Linked DNA regions of Diceros bicornis minor. The main gene of each other region encodes a partner of the protein of the gene in region 2 in a complex. Links are inferred from orthologs where the notes say so. Each region holds a gene or a part of one and is shown on either strand. Other genes may lie near its edges.

Evidence for each region.
Region 1: the proteins of SCN7A (region 2) and SCN3B are in contact, whole or in part, in a cryo-EM structure (PDB 7TJ9), measured with the Homo sapiens proteins. The link is inferred for Diceros bicornis minor from reciprocal best matches to the Homo sapiens genes SCN7A and SCN3B. Residues at the interface, in NP_002967.2 of Homo sapiens: Arg269, Glu293, Tyr296, Leu298, Glu299, Leu305, Gln315, Cys316, Pro317, Glu318, Gly319, Tyr320, Asn922, Ile923, Thr926, Cys927, Lys929, Ile930, Phe939, Ile956, Tyr957, Asp959, Gln960, Ile966, Tyr970, Met973, Ile974, Tyr977, Ile978, Leu981; in NP_001035241.1 of Homo sapiens: Val25, Cys26, Val27, Glu28, Val29, Arg44, Ile46, Lys50, Arg51, Glu52, Glu53, Val54, Asn95, Gly96, Ser97, Asp99, Gln101, Asp102, Phe126, Phe128, Ala130, His131, Pro133, Val135, Thr154, Ser155, Ser158, Glu159, Met162, Leu165.

Annotation. Positions count from the first base shown.
Region 1 is NC_080746.1:13,824,315-13,839,240, forward strand, and holds the start of SCN3B (sodium channel subunit beta-3), read left to right. Parts: upstream 1-8,965; 5' UTR 8,966-9,309; intron 9,310-9,734; 5' UTR 9,735-9,760; coding exon 9,761-9,815; intron 9,816-14,926. UniProt on the Homo sapiens protein: Regulatory subunit of multiple voltage-gated sodium (Nav) channels directly mediating the depolarization of excitable membranes.
Region 2 is NC_080749.1:48,485,775-48,501,200, reverse strand, and holds the start of SCN7A (sodium channel protein type 7 subunit alpha), read left to right. Parts: upstream 1-8,921; 5' UTR 8,922-9,145; intron 9,146-9,264; 5' UTR 9,265-9,374; intron 9,375-15,426. UniProt on the Homo sapiens protein: Sodium leak channel functioning as an osmosensor regulating sodium ion levels in various tissues and organs. While most sodium channels are voltage-gated, SCN7A is not and lets sodium flow through membrane along its concentration gradient.

The DNA.
Region 1 (14,926 bases), on a different chromosome or scaffold from region 2:
TTAGGCATCTTTAGATCTCTTATCACTTTACAGTCTCTTTTAAATATCATCCATTTCCATTACCTCAATTATCACTCTATGAGAATGACTCTCAAATCTTGATCACCGACCCATTATCTCTTCTAAGGACCTGATTTAAATTTCCAGACAATCTATCAGCATCTGGACCACAAAACATACCAAATAAGATCCAAGATCCATCATTTTTCTCCCCCAAATCACCATTCCTGTTAATTTCTAATGGCATAAGTTTTCCCAATCTACCATGACTAGAGTGACCTTTGCTCCCTTGCCCCACACCTGATCATTTGCCAAGTCCAATGTATTTCTCCAGAATCAGACATCGCCGCTCACACTGCCCTACATCAGCTCCTCCTTCCATCTTACTACAGCTACTGCAATCATTCTCCTATTTTCCCATTCCATGTCTCCTATTCTGCCAGATTCATTTTCCTAAACCCATTTCATATCACCTTACTCACATTAAAATCTCCAATGACTCCCAACTGTCTATCATACTAAGTCTAGACTCCTTGACAGGCATTAAAGACTATTTACTTAAACTTATTTTTCCAGCATTATCCACCATTATTTCTCTAAATGTGTCCAGTGATCAGATAAACTAAATCATTCACTTTCCCCATCTCAGGTCTGAAATTTCCTGCCTCTATACTTTTGCTCATGTTGTTTCCTGTCAAGAAAATCATGCTTTTCAATCACTTCCTGTTGAAATCCTATCTTTGCTTGAGGAAGGTTTTAAATGTGCCTCTTCATGTACCTTTTACTGCTGGAGATGCAACCTACCTTTCCTCTGATCCTCTATATTTTACTCTTAATCTACTTTGTATCATAACCATTCATAAATGTGCCACCTTCTCACCACTGATGTCTTATCCTCCCTACAGATTGTGTCCTTAATACTATTTTCCAAGTTCTTTTCTAGTTTCTGCAAAATCCAAAGATGAATAAAAATTTTCCTAATTTCCCTGGAAAATTCAAAACTACTTACCCAAAGGAAACTTGTATTAATGTTTCTCATTCCATTCCCCAGTGCATGCTTCTCATTCACCCAGAAGGTGAGTGAGTTCCTATTGCCCCTCCTTAAAGGGTGAAGAATCTAGAGAAAGTGGGGCCATCTTTACCACTATGGCGAGGGGGAGTGTTTTCTCGAAATCCATGTTGGAATTCAGAATGCAAATCTTTGCCCTAGATGGAAGACCACAGGCTAGTGGTGGAGACAGATCCCAAAGCACCCAGTTACAAGGTTGTTTGACAAAAGCTGTGGTAGAATTGTGTGCTATGGGAGCTGGGGGAGCCATCTCCATGATGGAGTGGGAGCAGGGAAGAATAAGTCTGAAGGCAGGATGAGGGAACTTCACAGCTATTCAGCTCAGTCAGGTTTTCTCAGCATGATTTCTTTAATCCTTCTGAAACACAAAGTCCAGCACTATGCCTTTCCCAAACACTAGGCGTAATCCCATCCTCAAGTACTTACAGAAATGCAACAATTTTTAAAAGCTGTTATTGTTCCATATCGTCTGGATATACAGGCCCTTCCCTTTCCTCCTTTGAGTCCTGGAGTTGGTGTGTTGAGTTCTTCCTGGCCACACACAGCTGCCAGGGGATATCTGGGTCCATGGTGAGCGAAGCATGCCAAAGAACGGAAAGCAAAGAATTGGTGGTTCTGCCACATACAAGTTGAGTGGCCAAGTTATTAAACTTCCTCTTGGATTTAGTTTCCTAAAAAAAAGAAGATGGCAATAGTGCCTACTCCTTATTTAAGAAGAAGGCAGAAAAAATAATATCTATTAAGTTTATGCTAAGGGCCAGGCATTACATCAGGTGATTTATATATTTAATTCATTTAATCCTCATAAATAGCAACAAGGTAGGTAGTATTATTAGTCTCATTTTATGGCTGAAGAAACTAAGGGTCAGAGGAATTAAATAATTTGCCCAGGGTTACAGAGGTAACAAGCAGAGTATCCAGGATAAACCTATCTGACCCCAAAGATATCGCTTTTCCATTACTCCACTCAGTGACTCCAAATCATAACCTTACTTGAAAACAGCAGTGTCATTCAGTGACAAGGGCCCCAGATTAAGAACCTGGAGAGTGCCACTTGCATCAACAAGGTGAGCCACTCAGAACACCCCTTAACCTCCAATCTACCATTCCTCTTCTTTAGGAAACGCTACTCATCTTATCAAGGTTGCACTCAAATATTACCTCTTTCAAAACTTTCCCAGCTATGCCCCCACCACCAGCCCCAAAGAATAATCTGTGACTCCATCTTCTAGGCCATCTGTATGCAATAGTCCTTACCACACAATTTCGCTGTTATTGTTTTAAAGTCAGAGACTAGTGCAATACCTGGCATAGAGTAAACACTCAGAAAAAGTCTGAATGAAAGAATGAAGTGTAACAGTACACAAGTCATTTAATCTCTCTAGATATCAATTTTTGCCGTCTTTAAAATACATGAATAGTCTCTCATATCTCACAGGTATATCAGGAGAATTCAATGAAATATGTTGTGTTCTTAAAAATAAAACCATTAGGGCCGGCCCCGTGGCTTAGCAGTTAAGTGAGCGCGCTCCACTACTGGTGGCCCGGTTTCCGATCCCGGGCGCGCACCGACGCACCGCCTCTCCGGCCATGCTGAGGCCGCGTCCCACATACAGCAACTAGAAGGATGTGCAACTATGACATACAACTATCTACTGGGACTTTGGGGGGAAAAAATAAAATAAAAAAATAAAACCATTAGATGAGGCCAAGATGTTGTTCCTTTTACAAAACAAAAACAGATCAACAACAAAGATGTTTTCATTCATGTTAATCCATGTGAGCTCTCTAAATGATAAGTGATTATAAGATTCTTGACCCTGCAAAGAAAAAAGGAGAGAGAGAAAGAACGAAAGGAAAAAAGAACACAAGATATGTTGGATTTTCTCATGTCTATTTACTTAGATTCCATACTTTTCCATCATACTAGAAGTTTTACTAGTAAGGTAGTTATATCTACTTTTTCTCACATATATATACATATACACACACAGTACTCAGCTTTGAACTTCACATTACATAATGAGTCATTAACTTTCTGACTGATTTGCACATGGAAGTGTCTTTTGATGGTGAAGGTCCTATAGGAAGAAGTTAAGTCCTTAAGACTTTGGGGACAAACAGCTTTGGATTTGAGTCATAGTTCTGCTGTATACAAGTTGAGTGAGCAAGTCATTTAACTTCTTTTATATTTACTTCCTCAAAAAAAAAAAAAGAGAGAGAGAGAATAATAATAGTGCTTACTCCTTAAAATTGTTGTGAGGATGAAATAAGTTAATCCACGTAAGGTGCATAGTATTGTTTTGGGCCAAAGCCTGCCCTCAAATAGTATTATGATTATGAAGATAATGCTGTTGATGATGAAAATGACAACAGAGGCGATGGTAAACCATGAAAAGCTGATTATTTCTCATCATTCTGAAGTTAACAGCTGAGCACATCTCTGTAAGGATTAAAGAAATAATCTAAACAGGAGCCTAACATCTTTTGATTTTATAGGGCTTTACAAAATCCAAAACACATCCACCCGATATTATTCCATTTGTGCTCCCAGCCCCTCTGGGAGGCAGACAATTAGAGAGAGAGAACTGGTTCAGAGACGTGGAGTGAGAATATCAGCAGCATCAGAGTAGAAGTAGCCGGGGACATAGGCCTCCCGTCGCTTACCTGGGGCTCATTTTGTGGTTTCTTTGTCTCCTTCTTCAATAATGTTTCTGATGAGCATTGAGTCAGTCAGGGCTCAACTGTTGCTCCTGCCCCAAACATCAGAACAACAAGAGCATCTAGATCAGCAGCTAGGCAATAAGGACACATTTCTCTAAAAGACTTTCCTTCTCCGTAGCCTCAGCGCCTGAGCCACATGCATGCCAGAAATGCATAAAGAATTATGCCAGCCTGACAGCAATACTTGAAATATATTATAACTTTTCTTCTGAGGAGCTTGAAGTACTTTATCATTATATTTATATTTTCTTTTTTTCTCATTCAAATGTTTGGATTATCATAACTACCTATAGACAGCTTTCTCACCGATGTGTAACCATGCGCTTCCTGGAGGCTGGTTACGAACAGTGTGACACTGGCTTCTTTCGTACACAGGTTGTGTTATGAGTCGGCGGTGGGCCCTCCTGAGTGTCAGGAAAGTTCTGGCTTCCCTACTCATTCAGATGAAATTCAATTCAATAAACATTTTTGGCCCCATCTTACCTGCCAGATTCTCTGCCATGTGCAGATCCAGGAAGGGACAGCATAGTCTGCTCATCATGTCACTGTTTCCTGTTCTAATCCCAAACTTCCCTTGGCCGGTCACAGTAACCACACAGCTGGCAGGCAGGATGAGGGAACGATCTGGGGGAGCCTGATATCTTTCAGTTCCATATGTGCTTTTTGGCCACAGTTTAAATTGAACATATTTCTTTCCTCTCCCTGTCTCACGGGGTGTGCACTATTTTTCAAAATCCACTTAGAACGGCAAAAGCAGGTCACTTGACTTGCCTTCCTTGAGCTCTGATTTCTGCATCTTGACTCTTAGGTCACGTATGTGTTGATCTTGAAATGCTTCTCCTGGCATTCTTCTGTGCATCAGGAAGAGGCCCACAGTGACTCCAGACCGTCTCCCTCGTCCCCAGTTCCCCTGTCACTCCCCATCCCTATTCTCAGCAGATGATTTTGCTTCCTGCCTTTCCAAGATCGGTATGCGTATCTTATGGTCTCATACTTTATCTTTACTCACAGTGTCACTGCCAATACTGTTCTCTCTAATTTTTCCACCATAATCTTAGTGAAATGGGTTTCTTTCTTCAGGAAAACTAACCTCTCCATGCACATCTCAGATGCCATTCCTTTTTCCCTGTCAAAGTTATTCCTTCCCCATCTGTGAATACCTCAGGCCTCATACTTCCCCCTCCACTTCCTCAGTCTCTGAGCATAATTGTCTGGAGTCCCCTTTAAGGAAGAGAGTCCCTCAAGTCCAGATATTCTCTCTTTCCTTGCCTATTGTGGCATTGCATCTTTCTGGATCTCCTCCCATTTCTCTGACTATTCTTTTTCTATTCCCTCTATTGATTATGGCCTCAGCTGTTCACTCTTTCCACACTGTTCTCACTCATTCATCCATCACAGATCTCACTATGATGATCACTATGATATGATCTCACTTGTTCATTCACTCATAGAGGATCTAACATCTGCCAGTTACCAATGTAGGCGTAGGAGGACAGTAGCGAACAGAACAAAGGAGGCTGCTTTCATGGAGCCTACATCCTGATAGGAGAAAACAGAAAATTAGCAAGTATGTAAATTTAAAATAAGATAATTTTGGATCGTGAGAGAAGATATGAAGAACAAGAAACAGGGTAGTGAGATGGAGAGTAGCTCCAGGTTGGGGAACTGGACAGGAAACCAGTTTAGAAAGTGTGACCACTTTCTAAAGTGCCACTCTAAGGAGAAGTCATTTGAGGCAAGACTGGAATGATACGAGACCAGCCATAAGATGAAGAGCATTCTAGGCAGAGGGAACATCTGGTGCAAAGGCTCTAGAATGGGAAAAAGCTTAGTAAGTTTGAGGCAAGTTTTTAAAAAATTAAGTGTAACTGGAATATTGTGGACAAGACAGGGAATGGTAGACATGCGTGTGAAGAGGTAGCCAGGGCTCAGGGCAGGCCTTGTTAGCCATAGTGAGGAGTATAGATTTTATTTAACTGCAATGAGATGCCATTGAAGGGCTTTAAGCAAGAAATGTGCATGATCTTACAGAGACAGAGTGCTCTGACTACTGTTTTTAGCCTAGAATGGATGGTTTCACCTATCAAATGTAAGGGGAAGATGATCATCAAATTGGAAAAGGTTAAAAAAAAAACAGCCAAAAAGAGTTGAAGCCAAAATGGCAAAAAGAAGGGAGGGATAACTTAAACAAGTTAAATGAGTTAAAAACTCTCAGAACAAGGCCAAATGTACTTTAGGGAATGCAAGGTACTTGCAAAAGTAATGAGAGCCACTGCCAAAAATCAAGAGAAATGTCAGAAGACTGAAAAGACCAAATGCTCCTGTTTTTAATAGAGGAGAGACAGAGGAAGTGGCTTATGCAAACTAGAGACAAGTACATTGTTCCTAAAACCTCACGTAAAATCCTCAAAGTGAATATTTAAAATGGGATTGATAAACATTTAGAAAACAACATTGTGATTATTAGGAATTAGCACACATAGACGTAAGAAAAAATCATGTAATATTAAGCCAATTCCTGCTGTGGTAGTGGCAGTGTTTGTAGCGATGGTAGTTGAGAGAGTTATCAGACTGAAAATATCTTGGTCACTCTATGTATTGGGGTGAGACTTTCAATAAAATCATTATCTCAAAGATAATTGGAACTTTATCAATAATCTATTCCAAATCTTTTTGTATGTGTGTGTGTGAGGAAGATTAGCCCTGAGCTAAGATCCGTTGCCAATCCTCTTCTTTTTGCTGAGGAAGACTGGCCCTGGGCTAACATCCATGCCCATCCTCCTCTACTTTATATGGGACGCTGCCACAGCAGGGTTTGATAAGCGGTGTGTAGGTCCGCGCCTTGGATCCGAACCCGCAAACCCTGGGCCACCAAAGCGGAGTGTGCGAACTTAACCACTAGGCCACTGGACCAGCCCCTATTCCAAATTTTTAACCTATAGAAGATTTTTTTTTCTATGACATCTCAGTAATTCTTTGGATAGCAACTGCTTGAACTTAACAAAAGGTAAGTCATTCGGCTTTGGAACGGTTTGAAAGATATTGCTGAAAATCTGTTTCCATGTAGATGTAAACCATTGATCCTACCTCTTTTCTTTGGATCATTATAAGTCTAATTCCTCTCACATATACCGTTTGTTTTAAATTTGCAGAATGTGTCATGCTATAAATATGGAAAATAGGGAGATATGCTTGGGTATTTGTTTGTGATTGAGCAACCATACCAAAGAAGTCTAATCAGTGGCTTGTTGCCAAGGTAGAGTGAGGTCTCTAAAACCATGCCAAAGGACTCTTCTTTGTTTTTTTCCTATCCACTTTTTTTAAAATCTATGTTTGGACCAAGTGATTGACAAGCCTAGAGATGGAAAAAAGCTAAAGAAGAGAGATATGTTGGATGATTGAATCTGCATTCAATAAAAATATGGACAGGATGTGATAATTGGTTGAAACTAATAAATTTTAACAGCAATAAGTGCAGAGTTTCATAAAAATTTTTCCAAAATTACCTGTATAAGTACAAAATGACTCTGCAACACATCGAGCGAAACATGCTTAGGGATTTTAACTGACCATAAGCTTACTCTGAGTGAGATATGGCTGTAAATGTATTTGAAGAGGCATACTCTCTAAGCAAGTATGGCCATAATTCCCCTGGATTTATGCTGGTCAGACCACACAGGGAACATCAGTTCCTGTTCTGGATTTCACTTTGAGAATCATGCCGAGAAACTAAAAATCCTCCTGAGAAAGTGACCAGGGTGGTTAAGGGTTTGAAACTACTAGGAGATACACTGGAAGAAACTTAGGAAGCTTAGCCCCAAACAAAAAAGTCTTAGGGGTGGGGTCTGGGGAAGCATTGCTCTTTTAAGGAAAACAGATTGAGGACCTCTTAATGGAGTTTGAGGAGGGAAGAGAAGTAAACAGAACTCAATCGAACATAAAGAACTTCCTTAAACAACTGAAGGGACTGACTTGTGAAGTAGTAAGCTCTTATCACTGACAAAGGTCAAGACTGTTCAAAGGAATGTTCTTGGGGGATTCATGAATTGGAAAGGAGGTTGAGTTAAGTCAACTTGAACTTCTCATCCAAATCTAATACACTATGCTTCAAGGGCTGGTCTTCAAAACAACATAGAGTTTATGGCCTGGTGGCTCCCTGCCCAGGAAGAAGATCCTGCCTTGGGGACATTCTGTTGCTCTGTGATATGTTAGGAGGGAGAATTTCCTGCATATGGTTCAGTTACAGTCAGCTGTTACCCTGCCGTTCCTTTTTGGAATATCAGTGTCAAGCTTCTCCTTTTGGAAAGGGAGCAGGAGGGGATGATAAGCTGGGAGCAGAGAGGTTCTTGTATTAACCTTTCACTTCAGTTTCAGGCATTCCTAACCTGTTATGTCAATTTGAGTCTATGACTGAATTTAAAGGTTCAGGTTTCCCTTCCAGAGATGGGGCGCAGGCACTGAAACAGCTGCTAGGACTAGGGAGTGGCTAATAGTTGGAAGAAGCCAAACCACAATCTATCGGCTTTAAACTAAAAAAAAAAAAAAGTGATTAGAGCGAGAGGGAGTTGCCCCCTCCCCCAACACCACTTGCGCTGACCTTTGGATCACCTCACCGAGCAGGAGGTGAACATGGGAACAGGTGCGCCTCACCCCTACCGCACTTCTAAAGAGGGATTGTCACGCTGCGGTCAGTGTGCCTGGAACCAATTAATCGAGGCTAGACGAAGGACAGACTGGGAGAACAGGAGGGGATGGGGTCCGGGGAGAGAAGCCGGGAGCCATGTACGGTGTACACTGCAGATGACATCATTGCCTGAAAGAGATTTTGCCCGCCCCTTCCCGAAGCTGGAGGCAAGCATGTCTGTGCGGGAGCAGGAGTGGGGTGGTCTGGAGAGTGAATTGGTGGGAGGTGTGATCGTGCTGGGGCGAGGTGTAGAGATGTGCAAGGCAGACCTGGAGACAGCCAGCGAGCTGAGAAATCGCGGCGGCGGGGGGTGTTTGCGCTCTTCCGGGCTCCGCCCCCCGCTCAGCGCCGTGTTCGGCCCTGGGAGGGGCACGCCTGTTTGGGGGTGGGGAGTGTGTGCACGAGGGGGTGGGTCCGTGGTGGCGGTGGGGGTGGAGAGCTGCCTGCGCATGTCAAGGCTGACTGAGCATACACGGTCAGGGGGGCCTGGAGAAGGGCAGCTGGTCACCCGCCACCCAGGGTCGGGGCCCCGGCACGATCCGGGAGCGAGCTCTGGGGAAGGGGCCCATCCTCCCCGCCGCACTCCACCCCCCGCCTCTGAAATTTTCAGCCAAACAAGAGCTTCCGCCTCCTCCCCTGCCCCCTGGACCTCCCCGGGGAGCCGAGGGCGGGTGTGGACGGCACTGAGGTGGAACGAATTTTGTAGCTCAGACGGGTGGCCCCGGTGGCTTCGGGTGGACACGCCCAGCTGGAGAAGCCGGTCAAGGCGGATGACGCCGGCGCTCCCGGGTCTTGGCGGATCCTGGTCGGAGCGTAGCTGTTCCTAGGGCAGGTGAGAGGTGGATCAGCATGGAACCTTTCGACAGCCCGGCCGCCTAGAGCCAGCCATGCTGCTCGCTTCCGAGCTGAGCTTTCTCCGAGGCGCAAACAAGAGAAGCAGCCGTGCAACTGGAATTTGAAGTTCCGGGGTGGGCGGGGAAGGTACTGTCCGTGGTGCTGAGCCGGATCCCAGCAACGGGCTCCGGGGAGAGCGTGCGAAGCTGCTGATCTGCTCCCTCGAATTGGGGCGGTCGGCTAGGGTAGCTTGGAGCTGAAACCCCCACCTGGCTCAAAAAGCCTGCAGAGCCTCCCCAGTCACCGGCGCTTGGCCCTTATTTCAGTCAGAAAGTCGCCCCCTTGGGGCAGTTCGTCCCAAAGGGTTTCCTCGAAAGTGTCTGAGAGGACGCAGTTCTTGACCAAGGGAATCTCTCTGTTTAGCTCTGGAAGTCACCCACCGAAAAAAGATGCCTGCTTTCAACAGATTGTTTCCCCTGGCTTCCCTCGTGCTCATCTTCTGGGGTAAGTACCAGCACCCTGCCATGTGAAATGCAGATAACAGTAATAACGCAAACAATAATAACACTTATTGATGTCGTTGGTGACAAAAAGGAGCCCTAGTTGGCTTCCCTCTGTGCACGTCTGCCAGACATGGAGATCCATAAGGGGTTCCATGAAAGCTGGGATTTTAAGACTGGAAAAATGCCTCCCCGCTTCGCTGCTGCTTTATTCTGGAACCTCCCTTGATGTTTTTTCCACCCCTCCTCCCGTTTCCTGTTAATTCCAAGGTATTTTTTTCTGTTTCCCTTTGCTGAAAGGGAATGCAGTCACGTTCATTATAAAAAATCTCAGTTGCAGTTACATTTCATTTCTCAATGAGTCGTCAATGAGTCTTCAAATTAATTTCTACATATTAAAAAAAAGCTGGATGCATGCATTTTAAGAGTGAAAATACTTCAATTGTTGATCCATCTGTTTAATTGTAATAAGGAAAACAGGTTTCAGCCATTTGTACCTATGTATTAGGTAAATAGGCACCTGGGAATTGCATCTTTCTTCTTTTTTGTGAACATGTTGAGCTAAGGTGCTTTGGTGTTTGGGGAGCTGGGTTTTTTGCTTTCAAAGACGAATAGGTTCTTGCTTGTCTGCTGTGGGGGAATGAGGTGACCTTCTCACTCCAAATAAGGGAGCCCTGCACTTACAACAGCAAGGCTAAGCAGAGTGGTGTCAGAGATGAGCTTGCAGCAGGGTGCCTGGATGTGTGTAGAGGGAATTAATGAGTTTACGTGATAATGTCTGAATATGTGGTTGAGAGAATGCTTTACTGTGTCAATGTATGCCTCAGTGTTTGAACGTGTGCGCTAGTGTATGTCTGAGCATGTTAGTATGGGCGTCTGAATGGCTTGGTGAGGATGTAGTTGTGTGTGTGTGGTGATTGTGTAATACTGGGCATCTCTGCCTTGGTGATTCTGATTAGATCTTCAGGTGAAATATAGAAGCTCTTCAGTTGATATATTGCTTTATATGATCTTAGCTACCTTCCTCCATGCTAAAAATCAGTAACCAAGATAATTAGAAGTGATTGTGCGCACTTGCCCTGTTGAAACTAGACATGTGGGATTATGCTCCCGTGGTTGCATGAAACTCATTCTGCCTGTGCAGCTCAGATATGCTGATAGGAATTGCCTCTTTGCCTTAGTATCACTTTATTAAGCATCCAGGACTAACTCTGGCAGCCAGCATTATCTGGATTTTGCCTGTGACTAGAAGCAGAGCCAAGCTTCCTGTTGAAGAAAATGCCTGATGAGAGAGTGCTGGGGAGGACAAAGAGGGAGAGTAACGCCAGTCCCAAGGACAGACTCCCTGCCATCCATCCCCAGTAGAGTAGACCAGACCTGAAGATGAAGCCGACATAATAGGTTGCCAATGATGTCACCTACCTTGAAAATTTAAGGCTGGGATTTCCTCAGGGGAGGCTAAGCCTAGGGACATGAGGCTTAGGAGAGATTAGTCTGGCTGGATAAGAAAGAGTGTGGGTAAAGCAATGGGAGATAAAGTTGTAGAGGAGGGTTGGGGTGAGATTCTACAGAGCCTTTCTTCCCAAACCCTAATTTAAGTTTTCAGCATCTCTGCCTGAATTCCAGTGGAGGAAGAGAGCATGATATTGTCCAAGGACCTTTTGACTAGGACTTACAAAACCTGGATTGGGGTCTTTGCTCTGCCACTAGCTTGCTGTGTAACAACCTTAGATTATCTAGTTCCTCATATCCAAAGTTTGGAGGTTGGAGCAGATGATATCTAACATCCTTTTCAGCTCCACAACTGAACGGTAGGGAAATATTTACAGAATATAGCTAAAATTGGCAGTGTGCGCACATTACACCCATCCCTCCTCATTCTCAGCATCTTTGTAATCTGAACATTGGTTCACCAAACTGAAAAGCTGCAGCGAGAAAGAGGGATGGTTCAGGAAACTTGGCTATTAAATGTAAGAGAAAGGGCCTCGCTTCAGAAATATAATTTCATTTATTTGCATGTAATTCTCGTATTGGAAAGCACTTAGCGTAGATGTGCTCTTCTTTCCCAAGCTGATTTTTCACATGATGCAAATATGAATGGAAAGAACTTTTTCCATTCTTTTATTTTCTGCATGTATTGAAAAAAGTTCCCTTATTTCCTTTAATAAAGTATATAGTAATAATAATAATTTTAAAAACCCTACATTTGCCTGGTGCTTTACAGTTTACAAAGCAATTTTCAATCCGTTACTTCTTTTGGCCCCCATATCAATCCCACGGGGATAGCCAGGGGAAGTAGTACTATTTCCAATTTAGAGACAAGAAAATGAGCTCAGGGAGGGGAAAGGACTTGCTAGAGAACTCTTGTCTCCTGATTTCAGTCTTACAGTGCTTGTTCTAGCACCTCTGATGGACACATGTGCTGCTGTGCAGGATTGCCTGATGGGCATCTGTCCTCTCATCCCTCTTCTGAGCTACCTTCCACTCCTCCCCCATGCCATTACCTTTCCTAGGGTCTCACTCATCCCTTAGCTCCTAGTGTCCTCTCTGCTCTTCCTCTCTAGGTCTGCTCTCCCAGATGTCCGCTGTGTTGGGGAATGTTTTCCTCTCTTCCCCAACTAGCCCATGTTGCATCCCATTCTTTCAAGGCTCTGCTAAGTGACTGTCTAATCTGATAGACTAAGTCATTTCAAGGTGTTAATATTTGCAAATAACTTCATTTATTCCCCCCTTTTGGAAAGTATTTACATTCTAATCAAAGCCTTTGTTATGTTAACACAAAAGAAAGCATTCTAGAGCAAGTTTAGGAGGGGCAAGATAGCAATGCCCAAAGACGAGAAAAAGATTTGGGGTATTAGAGGTGTTGGTTCAATACACATTAGTATCTACCTCGTTATAGATTGATGCTATTCCTTAGTTAAATATAATCATCATTAATACCTCATATTCTTCCTTCTCATAAGTTTCCTCATTATTACTATGGACATTGAAGAGGAGACCAAAGGTCAAATGATTTGGCCAAGATTATTCCAGGAGTTTATTATTTACAGTCAGCAATGTGGGTTGAACACCTACCATACATACAACCTTTTCTTGGATATCTAGAGAATTTCATAGAAAGAGAGGCAGTGGTGTACTGGAGACTCACAGGGTGGAGAAGCAGAATTCACTTCTTGATGGAAGGAGCAGCAAGTCATATTGCAAAGGGCAAGCAAACAGGGATGAGAGGATTTTGTGGCCATTTTGCAATGTACTATCTAGGACCTCATGAGCAGAGTTCTTATGCCTTCAAACTGGACTTTGGCCGGGAGAAGGGAATCAGTGGGGCTTGCTCTCTGGTGATACCTTGGATTATTATCATCTCAGGGGCAACTTAGGAAAAAGAGAGCTCCCATGCCATATTCACCATCCTGACTGCGTATATTTTTCCCTTCTTCCTTTAACTGTAAATGAGCTGTGTCCTATATTAAGACTAACTCATCTACTTGTTCACTAGAGAACATCACCTCTCACCTATTCAAGGATGTTAGTGCAGCAAATTATTTCTTTTCAAACCCCAACAGCTCCACTACTACCTTCATCCAAGCAAAACCATTGAACCGTCTCTCAGTGTGATCACTGTACCAACGTCTTTTTTTTTTTTTTTTAAGATTTTATTTATTTATTTTTCCCCCAAAGTCCTGGTAGATAGTTGTATGTCATAGCTGCACATCCTTCTAGTTGCTGTATGTGGGACTCGGCCTCAGCATGGCTGGAGACGCGGTGCCTCCGTGTGCGCCCGGGATCCGAACCCGGGCCACCAGCAGCAGAGCATGCGCACTTAACCGCCAAGCCACGGGGCTGGCCCTGTACCAACCTCTTAACTGTCCTCTTTGCTTCCACTCTTGTCTTTCCTCACCTCTTCAGTTCATTCGCAACATGGCAGTCAAATCATGCAATTCTGTATAAATCATATCATTCTTCCACTCAGCACCCTCCAGTGCTCCCCATGTCACTCTAAGCAAAAGCCAAAGTTCTAATCATGGCTGACAAGACCAGCTATGATCTGGCCCTGGCTTCTCTCTCCTACCATGTCTCCTTCTATTCTTGCTTTGTTCCCTGTACTTTATTGTGCTCTTTGCTTTCAATAAACACACTTCCACCCTTGGACCCTTGAGTTGCTATTTCCTCTATTTGGCACACCTTCACACAATTATTCATATAGTTTGCTCCCTCATTCCTTTCATTCAGTGCCTGCTTGATGTCATCTTCTCAGTGAGGCTGTCTCCAATCATCCTATGCACTCTCTATCTCCTCTGCTCTGTTTTGTTTTTCCTCATAGCGCTCATAACAATTTAGTGTTGCTTATCTTCTCTCTCCCTCAACTAGAATGAAGGCTCCATGAGAGCAGGTGTGGTTTCTGTTTTGTTCCCTGTTGTATTCTCAGTGTTTAGAACAGTGCCTGGCATACAGTAAGCACTTGATATATTTGTTGAATATATGAATAAATAAATTAAAGGTAAAAATAACATTAACAAAGTGATATTTGTACAAAGTATGTTCTTATAAATTATTCCATAGGATTCTCATGACAAATCTATTAGATATTATTTTCAGCATTATCTTAATGAATAAACTGAATCTCAGAGAGGTTAAATAGTAGATCAAACCCAGGCCTTCAGTTGCCAAATACCATCTTCATCCTGCCTCTATAACTGTAACTGTATATTCTTTGGTACATTTTCATATTCTGCTCTTGAAGTCATCATTATTGAACTAGCTTATCTTTACCACATGTCATTAAATATGAATGTGCCCCAAGGCTCTCTGCTACACAGAGTTCTCAGTGCACACTCTACACCTCTGCCTACTCAAAACTTTTGCACAGACAATGTCGTCGTCGTCTTCTTTTTTTTTTTTCACCAGGCCTATAATCAAGACTTCAAACTCATCACATGCTGAAGATGTTTCTGATCAGTTCTCCCTAGTTGTGGACCCTTTCTCCGCTAAAGTGATGGTCCCTGTGCAAAAGCAGGAGACTCTCTTGCACACTTCCTGAGAAGACCAACCCCAGCTTGCCTGAGAGTTTTAAAATCAATTAAATTTATTTTACCTTGACATTTTAAACTTTATCAT
Region 2 (15,426 bases):
TACGGAAGTGGTATTGATGCCTTCTCAGTGCATTATATCAAAAGGAATGTGATGTCTGCATGTCTTATTATTACTGATGTTAACCATGATCACTTTATTATGTTGGCCTCCGCCAGGATACTCCACTGGTAAAGTTGCTATTTTCCCCTTTGTAATTAATAGCAACTTTGTGACTAGATTCTTTGAAACTATGGGAATATCCTGTTTCTCATCATACTTTCATCCTAAATAATAGACTTTATTTTTTTAAAGCAGTTTTAGATTTACAAAAAAAATTGAGAAGATAATACAGAGTTCCTGTATACCCTCCTCCCTGCTGCACACACACACAATTTCCCCTATTATTAACTTCTTACATTAGTAAGGTACATTTGTTACAATTAATGAACCAATATTGATACATAATTATTAGCTAAAGTCCACAGTTAATTCACATTTCTTTAGTTTTTAATCTAATGTCCTTTTTTCTGTTCCAGTATCCCATCCAGCATACCATATTTACATTTAGCTGTTGTATTCTTAGGCTCCTTTTGGATGTGACAGTTTCTTAGACTTTTTCTTATTTTGATGTTCTTAACAGTTTTCAAGAGTAAAGGTCAGGGATATTGCAGTTTGTTCCTCTATTGGAATTGCCTGATGTTTTACTCTTAGCCTGGGGATGTGGGTTTTGGGAGTAAGATCACAGAGGTAACAGGCCATTTTCATCAAGTCATATCAAAGCGCATACTATTAACACGATTTATGACTGTTGATGTTGACCTTGATCACCTGGCTGGGGTAGTGTTTGTCAGGTCTCTACACTGTAAAGTTACTCTTTTTCCCCATTTCCATACTGTACAGTTTGGAAGGACGTCTCTACGCACGGCCCACACTTAAGGAGTGAGGAGTTATGCTCCCTCTTCTTTAGTGTGGAGTATCTGCATAAATTATTTAGAATTCTTCTGCATGGGAGATTTGTCTCTTCTCCTACATTTATTAATTTATTCAATCATTTATTTATATCAATATGGACTCATGGATATTTTATACTTTGGGTTATAATCCAACACTACTTTATTTATTTTGTTGCTCAAATTGTTCCAGCTTTGGTCATTAGTAGCTCTTTCAGTTGGCTCCCATGTCCCTTTGCTTTGACATACCTCCCTTAACGTGAGTTTTTTTTGAGCACTTCCTTACTTTCTGGCACTACAGGATGCTCTAGACTCACCTGGTATATTTCCTACTGCAGTCCTGGAATCAGCCATTTCCCAAAGGAGTCCTGGTTGATTTTATTGGAGAATGACATTAACGCAAGATTTGAGTAATAGGTACACTGACCCTCCCTTGTTTTTAACACAATTTTTTTTTTTATCTGGCTGAGAGCTTTAAAATCTTATCTTTATCCAAAGCTTCTAATATTTCATGATGATTTGGTTGAGGAACTATTTTCTTTTAAACTGAATGATCCTCTGTGGGCCCATTCACTTGGGAGACTCCGGTCCTTCAATCCTGAGAAATTTTCTTATATTATTTATTTGACCATTCACTCTCACTTGTTCTTTGTTCTCTCTATCTGAAATTCCTGTCAACTGAAGCTTGAACCTTTGGAATTTATTTATTTATTTATTTATTTAAATTTTATCTTTAATATCCTATTGTCCATCTCTTTGTACATCTTGGTGGTTTCCATAATTTTATTATCCAAACTCTGTCATCATCATAGTCTATCATAGATAAAGATTCCAAGGGCTCTTTCATGTAGTATTCCTTTAACATAGGGCATGCTATCCTTGTTCCATGGATATATCACTCATTTCCCACACTAATTATACTGTCTTTCAATTTTCTCCTGTGCCTTGTTCTAGCTCTACATCCATAGAGTTACTTCTTTCAATAGATTTGTTTCAGTTCCCTTCTGCTATGATAAAGGCATTCCACAAATGTCCAGTGATTCTTGTTTAGCGATCACTAAGTACCCAAGTGGATACTCAGTGCATTTATGCATGTGTTTGAGATTCGGGGAAGTAAATCTTGTGGACTAGAAGGCTTTATTCTAGGACGACCCAGTAATCAGTTAACTTTTTTGCTGAAGACACCAAAATACCAATATCAATGAGTCTATCCTGTGTGATAGGTCAGGTTTTAACCAGAGGAAGATCCTAGAATCTCCGTTCTGAAATAAAAAATGTGACTACCAGAATTCCGGGTGCTGATTAAGGGAAAGAACCTGGGGCAAAAATGAAAGCTTATTATTTAGAATACAAACTTTTATTAATGTTCCTCTTCTCAGTCCAGCACTTCTCTTCATTCTCCTCTGTGTAACATTATATTAATATTCCTGATTTCAAGCCTCCACAATCCAAATTTTCTAGAGAATGTACTTCCCACCGTGAGTTGAGGAAGAGGGCAGTTAGCAGCATGGGCTAGAGTTAGACCTCAGGTGGCCTAAAGATTTTCAAACAACTTCCTGTTTTCAGACCCAAACATACTCAGTTGCAAGATGACCAGGTTTCTTCAGTTTCTGAGATTTTCTAGCTATCTGCAGAAAGGAGTAGTTTGACTCTCATGAATATCACTCCTCACAGGCAATTAGGTCAGACTTTCTTTGCTCCACTTTACTAAATCATTTATTTTAATTTTTCCATCTACATTCCACTTCATATATTGTGTTTTGATGTTACAAATGTTTCATAGTTTTGCTGAAGAGGTAGTTAGCAATTTCTAGTTTTTGCACTCCTTGTCTTGAAAAATTTGGGAGAGGAAAAGTGAGATAACTTTTAGAGCTGCCATCTTATTATCAAACCAATGAAATCTAGTACATTTGAGGAAACAAACTAGAATCTATCACTATTATTGTTCGGTTGGTTGCTCTTCAATCTTCAATTCAATCAATCAAATTTCTTGCTTGATAATTCTAATTCAGGTAGGGAGAAATGTTTATTTATGAATTTGGTTATGCTTTTGTATGTTCTTAAATCTTTAGAAGTTACAACATTTTTTCTAATTTGCTGTTTTCTAATTTGCCAATTGCAGATGCAGACATGGCACGGCAGAAGTTGCTGGTCATCCCCAATATTTATTCTTACCTTTCTCTACATTAGTAGAAACCTCAACTTTTAGCTCACTGAATAGATGCTAGAATAAGTATGACATTCCCCACCCTTCCTTCCAACCAACGTGCCTATGGAGTTAAGCTCTGGCCAACATGATATGAACTCAAGGATGCATAAAATAAAACTTCTGGATTGTAACCTTTAGTGGAATGGGCATGAATTCCATTTCATATATTCCCATTTTATACTGCCCCTGGAATACAAATGTGTTGGTGAGCCATCTTGAATCATGCAAATGAGGGTATAATGCACTAGGGATGGCAAATCAACAAAATTGAAAGAGCCTGATTGCTCATATTTTGTAACCCCGGACTGCTTATACCTTGATTATTAGGTTTGAGAGAAATAAACTTCTGCCATGTTTAAGCCACAGTTATTTTAGGTTTTTGTTACAGCAGTCAAATCTGACTTTTATATTGACATGCATATATTCAACGATTTCACATATGTACACACAAATTATAATGGATTTCCAGATAAATGACAATAAATTGCATTTTTGTAATTATGTTTGTTTTCTATTTTATGTTTTCACTTGAAAATATTCTGAGCTTCTGCCAAGCCTAGCTAGGAATTACTTGATTGATAGATGGTTATTGGATACAAAATTGCAAAGTGGAATGTATTGTGATCAGGAACATTTTGAACAAGAACTCCAGATGTGTCTGTGATTTTTGTAATCTGATTCTTGGGATTAAGGCAAACTATGAAATAAATATGTGCAAAAAATCGTTCATTTTATACTGTGTGTGTGTGTTTTCCAAATGTATGTTTGACATTTTTTTCTCTGCTGGTTTCCAATATATAATTTGACTTTTTGCTGATATTCTTTATTGACTATGGCTATATTTGGAAGATTTTTGGAAAGCATCAAACTGGAGCAATGTGTTTATATATATATATATATATATATATATATATATATATATATATCCCAGGGGATCTGAGAAATTGGAACAAGTTTAGAAATTTATCAACTGATAATTAATATTCTAAAAGGGTTTTTGCCCACTTTTTTGTAGAGGAGCCCAGTTGGCTCTTACCATCTATAGTCTGTTCTTTCATTTCTGAGAATCTCTAAGAAGCAAGCTATTTATTTTGTTCCTTTGTGACTGTTAACTCTTTACAGTTTTATTCACTGTCCAAATTCTTATAGTTCTGGAACTTGGGACACAGTTGAACACTGTGGCAAGGTTTTCCTGGAACAGTTCTAAGGAACTCAAGCTTATAAATAATCAGAATCACACGTAGGATGCTATACACATAAAAATAACGATAAGGAACTGATTCTGGTTTTGCAGCACTGTCTTTATGTAGGTATGTGAGGATGATAAAAACTGAAATGAAAGTATTATAGATGGAATGTTTGTGTTCCCTGCCAAATTCATGTGTTGAAACCCTACTCTTCAATGTGATTGTATTAGGAGATGGGGCCTTTAAGATGTGATTAGGATTAGTTGAGGTCATAAGGGTGAAGCCCTCATGAGTGGATTTAGTTCCCTTCTAAGAATCATGAGAGAGCTTGCTTCCTCTTTCAGCAATTCACCATGTGATGAGGATACAAAGAGAAATCTACAGTCTGCAGCCCAGAAGAGGGGTCTCATCAGAATGTGACTATGCTGGCACCCTTATCTCAGACTTCCAACCTCCAAAACTGAGAAATAAATTTTTGTTGTTTATAAAGCACCAAGTTTGTGGTATTTTGTTATAGTGATACAGAACCTCTTAATCTCAAGTTCCTGTGCCCAGTGTGCAGTAAGACAATCATTGAGACACTGGTGCTTGGAGACAGAGAAAGGTTTATTCGAATTGGCCAAAAGGAGAAGGGGGACGATAGGGTCTCTCAAATCCATCTTAACAAAAGAAGAAAGCAGAGGGTCTTTATAGAGAGTTAGGGGGCTTGGGAGGAGGAGCTTTGGAGAAACAAAGGGGAAATCCATGTTCCTTTCACTCCAGATAAGCCCTTGGGCAACCAGACTCCTGGGCAGCAGTGGGCAGCTGGCAGCTGGTTATCTGGTGGTTGTAACTTCCTTAAAGACATTCATTTTCTTCTGCAAAACAAGCTCTTAAATCCTTGTGACCCTTGATTCACCCCTCAGGTTAAACAAGAAAACAGCAAATTAACAAGATTAACTTCTTTTCATCTGTGTCTTTGTTGGGCACAAGGTTGAAGAGTAATCATGTTCTTATCAAATATTTACAGTAACCCTTATGTACTTGGCTTCAATAGCAGCCCTAAGAGACTAAAACAAAAATGAGTATAGATATTTGCCTGTGATGTTACAGATGACACAAGGAAAGTTAACTGGCATTTGCTAAAGAAAATATGAAGTCTTAAGAATCATAAAATTCAAACTATTCAGATAGACATGTTTCTACAATATGATTTATATTATATTCATCCTAAAAAACATCTAGGCCTGGATTTTGACAACAATTTCAAACCAATGTTTATTCCGTATTGTACCAGAATAAGGGAAAGGGAAGTAACATTGTGATGCTGAATGCTTTATTTCTCTGAGTGCCCTGGCATTCCCCATAGACAAAATTGAACTTTCTTGTTTTTATCATTTCTTTTTAGGTAGGCCTGTGCTTTGTATCAAGATTCTGCAGCCAGGAAAAATTTTCACACCTATGTATTACAGAAGCATTAAAGTATATAAGTACCAGAGATTTAGCAGAATAAAAGCAGGTCAACAAACAATTCTCATATTCTTCATGTTACGTGTGCTCTATGATCTATTTCTATGGTGAATCACCACATTCTTCTGGGAAGCACTTAGTGGATTGGGGCATTTACTGGGTACTCACTATATTACAAGCTCTACTCTCACTATTACCTTATAGCAGAGGATAAACAAGTCCCCATTATTATGCAGCATGTATATTGGTGGAACAAGACAGAAAATAAACAAATAAGCAATTGATATTTAGTATGCCAGATGAGTGTTATAGAGAAAAACAAAGCAGTTGCTAGCTATGATAAGATTCAAAGTATGAGTGTGGGAATTAATAGCTGAGGTAAAGTGGAGAAAAAGATCATCTATGAGGAAGGAAATCAGAAGCTAGGCCATTGGATGTTTCATCCAAATGGTTGTTGGCATCCAAATGGATGAAAAAGGTTGTTAAGAATAATAGTAAGAGTCTGAACGAAAGAGAATACTGTCAATCAGAAAGTAAATCCTTAATAAATAAGAGTATCCATAAAGTCAGAAGATGAATGCTAGATTAGAAGAAGAAAAGGATGAGACAGCTAGATGACATATCCTCAAAGGAAGAGTTTTGATTTGTTTGTATTTTAGGAGAATTGTTTAAGGTTTTACCAAACCTGGATGTGGTGATGTGGAGTGAGAATAAAAACACTAGGACCATCCAAACTCCTGAGAGTAACATCCTTGAGGTTAGAATAAACAGCGTCCACTTAAGCAGGCTGCAAGGAAAATAATTTCCCCAGGAGCCTATCAGGTTCAAGGGTAGCGTGATAGAGCAGGGTAGGGCATGTGGATCTAGAACTTCTACCTTCTGAATACATACTTAGGAAACACGGCTTAGAATACATGATTATAAGGTTCTTAACGCAGAAGTGTGGAAAACAAACAGCAACTGACCTTCCCACCACACACACTTCAGCCTGATGAGCAACTTAAAGGATCTCATCAGCTCATTATTAGCAGCATCATAATTGCCCAAATTAGTCAGATCGACTTAGTAATATTATCTAATAGTAATGGCAAAATATTTGCTATAGAACAACAACAACAAAAAATGGTTGTCTGACTCAGAAGATAAAGCCAATATCGTTGATTTCCCTTCTATTTGCCTCTTGTTTCTATTATAGGTTTGCACAACATCTTGGGATTAGTTTCTGTTCATTACACATTATACAGAGCAGTTTATGTCACGTATCTTATTTAAGCTTTAAAATATTTGACATTAAGTTTGTTAAGTTTATATGATGTTTGAATGTACTGAAAGATACCTAGAATTTTACTGGGTGAGAAGGGATGCATAAGTTGGGTTGCTACAAGGAAAAGTTCTATGCACTAGAAAATTCACTTGTATTGTCACCACAAAATGCAGAGAAGAGAAGCCGGTAATCCATACATTGTCTATTAAAACGAAATCAAGTCAGGGCTGGCCTGTGGTGCGGTGGGTAAGTTCACACGTTCTGCTTTGGCGGCCTGGGGTTCGCCAGTTTGGATCCTGGGCCTTGACCTACTCGCTGCTCATCAAGCCATGCTGAGGCGGGGTCCCACATAGAAGAGCTACAACTCTACAACTATGATACACAACTATGTACTGGGGCTTTGGGGAGAAAAAAAAGAGGAATATTGGCAACAGATGTTAGCTCAGGGCCAATCTTCCTCAAAAAAAAAAAGAAATCAAGTGGATGTTCGATGCTATAAAGTAATTATTGTAAATTTTTAAGTATGATAATGGTATTGGGTTTTATTCTTTTAAAGTCTTTATCATTCAGAGACATATGGTGATACATTTTTGGAGAAAATGATATGATGTCTGGACTACTTTTAAGTTAATCCAAGGTGGCAGGGCGAGTACAGACAAAACAAGATTGGCTACATGTTGACAACTGAGCTGCCACATGTTGAAGCTGTGTGATGAGTACATAGAAGTTTGCTATACTTTCTTTATATTTTTGTATATGTTTGAAATTTTTCATAACAAACGTATAACTTAAACAAACGAACAGAATACACGTAACAAGGCCTTTTCTGTGAATCACGGGTGAAACGCACTGTCCCTAACATGGTTTGCACAGAACCAGCGTTAGCTTGGTTCCACTTTACTCCTCTGTCCTATGCCTTGGAATATAAAATTTGAGCCTCTTATAAATATACATGATTTCTTTTCCTTTTTCCCCATTTTTGTTATCTTTTCTTGATGTGCAGTAGGAATCTTTTTTTAAGGAAACTTCAAGATTTTTGAACAACATAGGGTTATAAAATGAAAGTTCTATGGTGTAGCAAAATTTTTCCAAACTCTTTTTGGGAAAAAAGGTCCACCACCTGTTCCCTTCACCCCCAAACTACATGATTGCACACCAGCGCACCACTTTTCCAAAATACACATAATTTTTCCTCTGTCCCTTGTGTCTCAAATCACCAGAGTGGGAAAGAAATCTAGAGTGAGAAGGTTATAGTTGCTCCAACCCATTCTTTCCTAAACAGCTGCACACACACACACACACACACACACACACGCGCGCACACACACACACACACACACACACACACACACACACACACACACACACGCCGCTACAGCAATGTCCGGATTTGAATGCTGCAGGCTGACAAGTGCCCCTGACAAGCTCTACTGGGGCAGTTAGGAAAGGGAAGAGAGAAAGCAACTGAAGGTAAACACCTGAGTTTGCTGCCTTCCTCTCTTCCTCTCTCCCTCCTCTCCCTCCTATTCACATCCTGCCCCCCCCCCACTTCTCTCCATTCCTTCATGCCCTCAGAGTCCTCTCCCGGCTCCCCCTCCTCCCCAATTCTGCTCCTCTCGCCCCCTCCCTTCCCCTGCAGGCAGCTGGTGGAGGCGGCTCGGCAGCAGCTGCTGTTCCTGCGGCTGCAGCGGTGCCTGCAGGTCTCTGTCAGCATCACCCCGCCCACGCCCGGTCTGGATGCTCAGGCCGCACACTGGGCCAGGGATGAGGGCGGGGGAGAAGGCGGCGTGGGAGAGGGGAGAGAGGAGTGGGGAGGGCACAAAAACAGCTTCCAGGCGGCGGGCGCGGCTCCACTGCGCGTCTGGGCAGGAGGGGTCTCTGGGTCAGTGGCTGGGAGGCCGCCCCGGAGACTTGGTTTCCAGCTGGCAATTCAGTGCGGCCCGTTTACAGCGGAGCCGTGGTGGCCTGGGTGGCATCAGTTGGTGAGTGCAGACGCCAGCCTAGCAACACCTCCTAAGCAACCAGAGCTCAGGAAACCAGAGAGATCCGGGAAGAAAGAGAAACCCAGAAGGAGAAAAGGGCTCTAAAGAGTCCAGCTTCTCTGAGTTCCCTCAGGTGCTGGTGGAGACCGGTTACATGGTAGCAAGTAAGTGCCTTTTTCTTGCTGTGTGCCCAGTCCCAGGATGGGGATAGCCACCATCTGCTGCCAGCCTTTCCCACCCGCCCTTGCCAGCCCCACTCCATAGACACCCTTACCGTCCCCAGCAGGAGACTGAGATTCTAGACATCAATCAAGAGAACTACTTCAAGAGCAGCAGTGGTTTGTGGGTGTGTGTTCTGCACTGAACCTGTGGTGGTTTTTCTCATCGCAGCAGGTAAGCTTCTGAAGCCAAGATGCTCTGTTAGTGTAAAATGTCTAGAAATCCTATATGACAATGACTTTTAGGTTTCAGGACACTATGATAGACCAAAAAGAATAAAAGCTCATGCAGGATGGAGTATACTTCTAAGGACTCTCATCTTTTATCCTAAGTAACTTAGTGATTTCAAAGTTGGTGCTTTTCATGTAAGCATTGGCAGTGTAAAATTAGAGGCACAGATGTGATGGGAAATGATGTGCCCAGTTTAAATGTATAGACATTCTGGGATTGTTTGGATCAACAGGTTTTTTGTTTTTGTTTTTGCATTGTTTAGCTCTGTAAAATGCATACCTTCTGGAGGTTTTCTTTTAGACGTGATGATGTGTTCATTGTGACTCTGGTTATATGTTGCCTCCAATACGTAGGCTATCCATCAAAGTAGGAGAAATGATGAATACATGTGGAATGATGGGCTCCCTTCATTAATGAAAATGTTGGAGTCAGGTTTGGATATTGGCAAGAAAAATCTCTTGAAATGTGGAGGAGTTTGGCAGGTGCTTTTTGTGGATATTTTTCTTCCTGGCTATCGTTCAGGAGAGTAGATTATGGCAAAATAAAAGGAAGCTGGGACCTGTAATAAACAGAGTTCTGGGCACCATATCTGCGTTGACCAGCCATAATTAAAATTTTTATAATCCGGCTGCTAGTTTTACAAATAAAGAAGATAAGGCCCATAGGAATCATTTGATGAGGTTACCTGGCTAATCAATGATGAGCTGGAAGTCCAATGAAGAAGATTTTGGGATTTAGAATGATAAAACTTGATTTCCATTTTTGCGAAAACGAAGCAAGTTATTTAACTTTTGATTAAGCTTTATTTTTCTTTTATGTAAATGACACAAAAAATTTACATATCCTGTAAGGACTAAATCACAGATTACATGAAGGGTTAAGTGAAGGTAATATCATGTGTAACTGTTGCTTGTATAAGGAATTGTTCTGTTTTTATCCACTTCACTATTCTAGCTCTCACTTTAAGTCTAGTTCAATATAAGAATAAAAGGAGCTTTGACAACCCTTGCTAGAATGCACTAGAGGAAATGAAATTCAAATCCAGGTCATGATCTCTTGCCACCTGTACAGTTTAAAGTATATTCTAACCTGTGAGCCTCCATCCTTGAAAAATTGTATGCTTTGGCTAACCATTTATATTTAAACACCTTTGAATATTCTCAAAATATACTTTACCCTCTTTCTCTTTTTAGCTTTAAATTTTGTTTCAGATATGTGGTCTTACTTCCTTGGGATGAAACCATCAAGTATATTGGATATTGCTGAATTTATTTGGTCCATTAATTAATAAAGGAGAAATCAATGTTTAGAGATAAACACTCTTCTCTTGACTGCTGAGATTCACTAAAATCCTGAACTCAGGTGAGAGGTACTGTGAGCTCCTTCTTTCCCGTCGAGGTGTTTAAAACAATAAGAGAAAAGACTAAAAATGGACGTAGGCTCAGGAAAAGGGACCAATGGATCCCAGATGACATGGGCAGGCCCCAGGACCTGCTGCCAGAACTGGGCATTCTGTCTCACAGCCTCTTGTGGGAGACGCTCTGGGAGGGTAATGATATACACTCCCATTAATTTTGTCCAGGTAGGATGAACACAGATCTAAAGCATACTGTAATGGAAATAACAGGATTTTGCTCAATCCCTTACTTAGGGATGAAGAATCCTAATATGCCCCAGCCTTAGATCTCATTATGACAGGCTCTGTACCACAACTGGGGTAGTCAGAGACTGAGCCACAACCTTACACCTACCACCATAGACTCTCTATTGAAAGTTTATGGTGGGAGCATTAGCATAAAAGAGATATTCCTGATTTCTGGGATCTGGACCCATTATTTCCACTAACCAATATCAGGATTCAACAGTCGTGAGGGGATGTCTGTAAACCCTGCCCACCCTGACTAGCTATCGGCAATGCACAGTCACTCACCATCATATGACACCAACTTGTATAGACAGATCTCATTTTTCCCTGAGTTGGTCCCCTTCTCTTCTAGTAGTGTAGCTTAACCAAGGCCAGGCAAGCAAGGTCTCACCTCTGCAACACTGAAAGAGGGAACTTTTAAGGCTGAAGAGAAAGTTCTCATCCCAGGGCTTCAAGGGATGTTTTTCAGCTGATCCGTATCTCTTGGCCCAGCTGGGATCATGATTTCCATGTATTTGTTCAATCGTTGCTATTTATAAACCAGGCTTATTCTGGTTATGCTCCATCCTGGTGGGGGATCCCCCATTTGTCTGGCAAACAGATATTCCTGTTGTATGCACAGTATTCCTGACTGGGTGGACTCAGCCTGTTGCTGGCTGAGGATAACCTGCTCTGTGGACAGATTTGCTTGTGGTGGCAGCCGGGTGCCAGACTGACTGTATCAGCGTCAAACAAGAGCTTGACAAAAATGCTGAAGCTGGGGCCCCACTCAGGGAACTTCTGATTTTAAAAGTCTGAGATTAGGACAGGGCATCTAGTTTTAAACTAGAACATCAGAGGATGCCAATTTGAGGGCCATAATCCCTGGCTGACTATGTGGTGTTCAGTGGAATATTCCTTCCCTTCTGCTTTAGAGGCCAGAGTGAGGGTCCTGGTCCACCAGGCTCTCATTCTCTGAATTCTTGCAGAGGCTGCACGGTCTAAGCACCTGATTACAGGCTATAACTTTGGCTCAGATCCATATCTAGTCTCGCCCTAATATGTTTCAAGGCTCCTCTCTAGTTGCCCTCCAGTTTGAGAAGGGATTGGGTATCTATATGTTGGGTTCCACATTTGAAAGGCTAGAGTAGTTTTGCGGGGTTGGAGTAGATCCTGGGAAAGCAGGCTCTTTCAGAGTGATCAGGAGGAGAGGTAAATAGCCAGTTCTAAGAAGCCTCCAGGGTTCCAGTGAATGTGCCAGTTCTGGAATTTTTTTTAAATTTTGTATTCTGCAGACCAAGTGGCATCTAAGGTCTCGCCGTTGCTGATGAGTATAGAAGTTACACTCATAACAAGCTCTCCTTCATATTACTGTAGCAGGGGCAAGAATACATTCCTCCTTCTTGAGGTCTTAAATGGCCTCTGGCTGGATTCTTCTGGTCAGGGGTCTGACTCACTAGGGTCACAAGAACAGTTAGTTCTGGAAAGATTCTAGCCTTCCCCCAACATGCTTGTTTTGGTGGGCTGGACAGCCACAGCTTGGAAGTTGTTCTTATATCCATAGAAACAAGGGCCCCTGCTAGTGAACCATGAGGGTGCCATAGAGAAGCTCAAGTGGGCATACTTAAAACCGAGGCAGCTTTCCTTCATGGTCCTGGAACCCTTCCCTGCCCTCATTGCCTCACCGATCATAATGGCTTTTCCTGGTGAGACTCCATCCCCCACAGAGACATACTGTCCTGCGTCCCCTCAAGGCATTCAGACATCCACTGGGCTTCCCTTGGGCTCATTCTTGTAAGTGAATTTGAGACCAGGTGCTAAGGCTTTGTCATATGACACTTTGTCCAGATTTCTTCTCTTCAATATAAGTTGTACCTCTCTGAATGTGTGTGACCTGCACTCTTCCTCACTGGAAAGAAGACACTTGCAGAGACCTCAGCTCCTAATTATTTTAATGAACTATCACTAGGATCCATGTTTACCAGATTTTGGGGAGAGTTCAGTTCTCAAAAGAGAAGAGATGGGACGCGTCCCTTTGAATTTTTGCTGGTGCTTGTTTATTTACAATGCTGTGTTTCTAGTTTTTGAATCCAGAAGAATGCCTGGATTAAAATTCTTAAGAAATATAATCAAAACAAAATGGCAATGCTTACTTACGTTTTTGAGAAAGTTAGTTATTTACAATTTTTCTCTGCGAGATAACATATTACAGGAATGTGTTGGCTGAAATTGTCAGAGTGAGGGAGTTGAGTCCAGAATTAAGTGGATGTATTGAAGCCCAAATAGGCTGACCTGAGAGTAGAACACAGCTCCAGGCAGAATCTAGGTCCAGGGACAAAGGAGAAAAAGTCAATTAAGCCAGATGAGACAAACTGTCTGCCAGGGAGAAGTAAAAGTGTAGGAGCCAGATAATCAAAGCTAAACAGGAAGTAAGCAGCTCAAGTGGAAAAATAATGCCAAAGCAGAAAACCAAGTAGGTTGAAGTCAAGTGGAACAGACAGCTGGAAAATTCCAGGTGAATTGGTACCATTCTGGTATATCTGTCCTTTACTGCCAAGCCTTCAGTGTGTAAAGTTCCCATTTCTGGATTTCAGTAATACATATACATGGTAAATTATGTTCAAATAGTATAGAAATATTAACCAGAAAGCAACAGCATCCTCTGACTCCTCTTCAGTCTCTACATAGATACAGCAGTTTACTTCCTTCCACAGGCAAAACATTATGCATGTGCCAGCATATATAACGTTATGTATATAATACTTATAAAATATTGTATTCAAAGGTAAACAGTGCAAGCCATTCTCACCATTACATTTTTCACTAAATAATTTATTTGGGGAATCTTTCCATATGAACACAGATCTATCATCTGTCTCATTCCTCATTATTACTAGTGTTCCACGCTAGCGAAATACTGGAATTTATGGTACTTAGGGTGGACACTTTGATTTTTTCCAGTCTTTGAAATTGAAAGTATGTTGTGATTAACATCTTTGCAAACCTGACTTCTCAAACTTCAGCAAGAATATTCAGGGCAGTTCACTTGATGGGTCAAAGAGTACATGCAACCTTTATTTTAGAAACTGTTGCCAAGCAGTACCTCAGGAAAAAAATACACTGATTTACACTCTCACCTGAATTGTGTGAGGGTGCCCATTGCTTCGTATCCCAGCCTGCCAAAAGTCGCATCTGTTGAGAAGACTCTCAATTACGTCTCTAGAGCTTTACTGTTAAAGTTAATGATTGTTTTAATCTCATCCATATCTCTCAGAATTTCCTGAGTTTGTCATCTTTTCTCATAGCCTTCTGCTTCCTGAAAGACAATGATTATATTTTCATATCCTCAACAAGAAAAAAAGCAATGCCTCTAATATCATATGAGTTCTAAACCCTAGAGAAAAAAAGATGATAGCTCTAGGGGAAAAAGCTCTGCATCTGAGAATTCAGCTGTGAATCATCACAGATTGTGGGAAAGATGAAATATAAGCCGTAATGTATCTATGAAGTGCAGTCAAGTGGCCCCAGTGAACAAAAATGTCAATCTAAATTGGTCCCTTCACTAAAGCAGGTGTAGTTCCTACGTTCTCAACAATATAGAGTCCATTTAATGATCACGTTAATTCTGTCTCCTTCACTTATGCGTCCAGCACCTTCTAGTCCCAAGTTAACTTGTGTATCAGCCTTGTTATTACTATCATTACATTTTTTTTGTTTCTGTTTTTTTATCTTAATGACATTGGTGCAATAGCCTTAATGCGTTGTCCATGTCTGATAGAGAGCATAATTGTTTCAAAATAGTTTAGAAACTAAGTGAGAAGTCATTTTGCCCTTTATTTCCTATGCCATGTCAGAGTGAAATTGGCATTTGGGATATTATCTTTACTCTACAGATCCATTGTCCTATTTTTTTTTTTTTGCTTCATTTTTCTTAATTTATCTTATCTTGCTCTATGGCCTATATTCTTGTAAACTACCCTAAATCTTTTTGGTAAATACATTAGGAGAATAAATAAATATATATTAGCTGGTATAAAGTGGAGCATTTTGTAATTCTCTTTGGCGAAGTAAATCTATCATCTATTTCTCATCCCTAGGATCAACTCCAGCTTCCCAGAAAGCATAGAGGTCGATTGTTTAGATACTGAGGTTTCAGTTCCCTAAGGTGGGAAAAAATGAAAGTGAGGAGGCTGTGACTATCCTAGGCAGTCACCTCCTACACGTGCAAAATCTTTCTCCACGGCCTGACTGCATCACTGGTAGGCTCTGCTCTGGGAATCAAACTGAAGGACAGGGGAAGCAATAGGGTGTGGGAGAAGGAGAGAGGAAAAACATTGACTTCTGACATCCTCTTTCTTCCCTGTCCTCCAT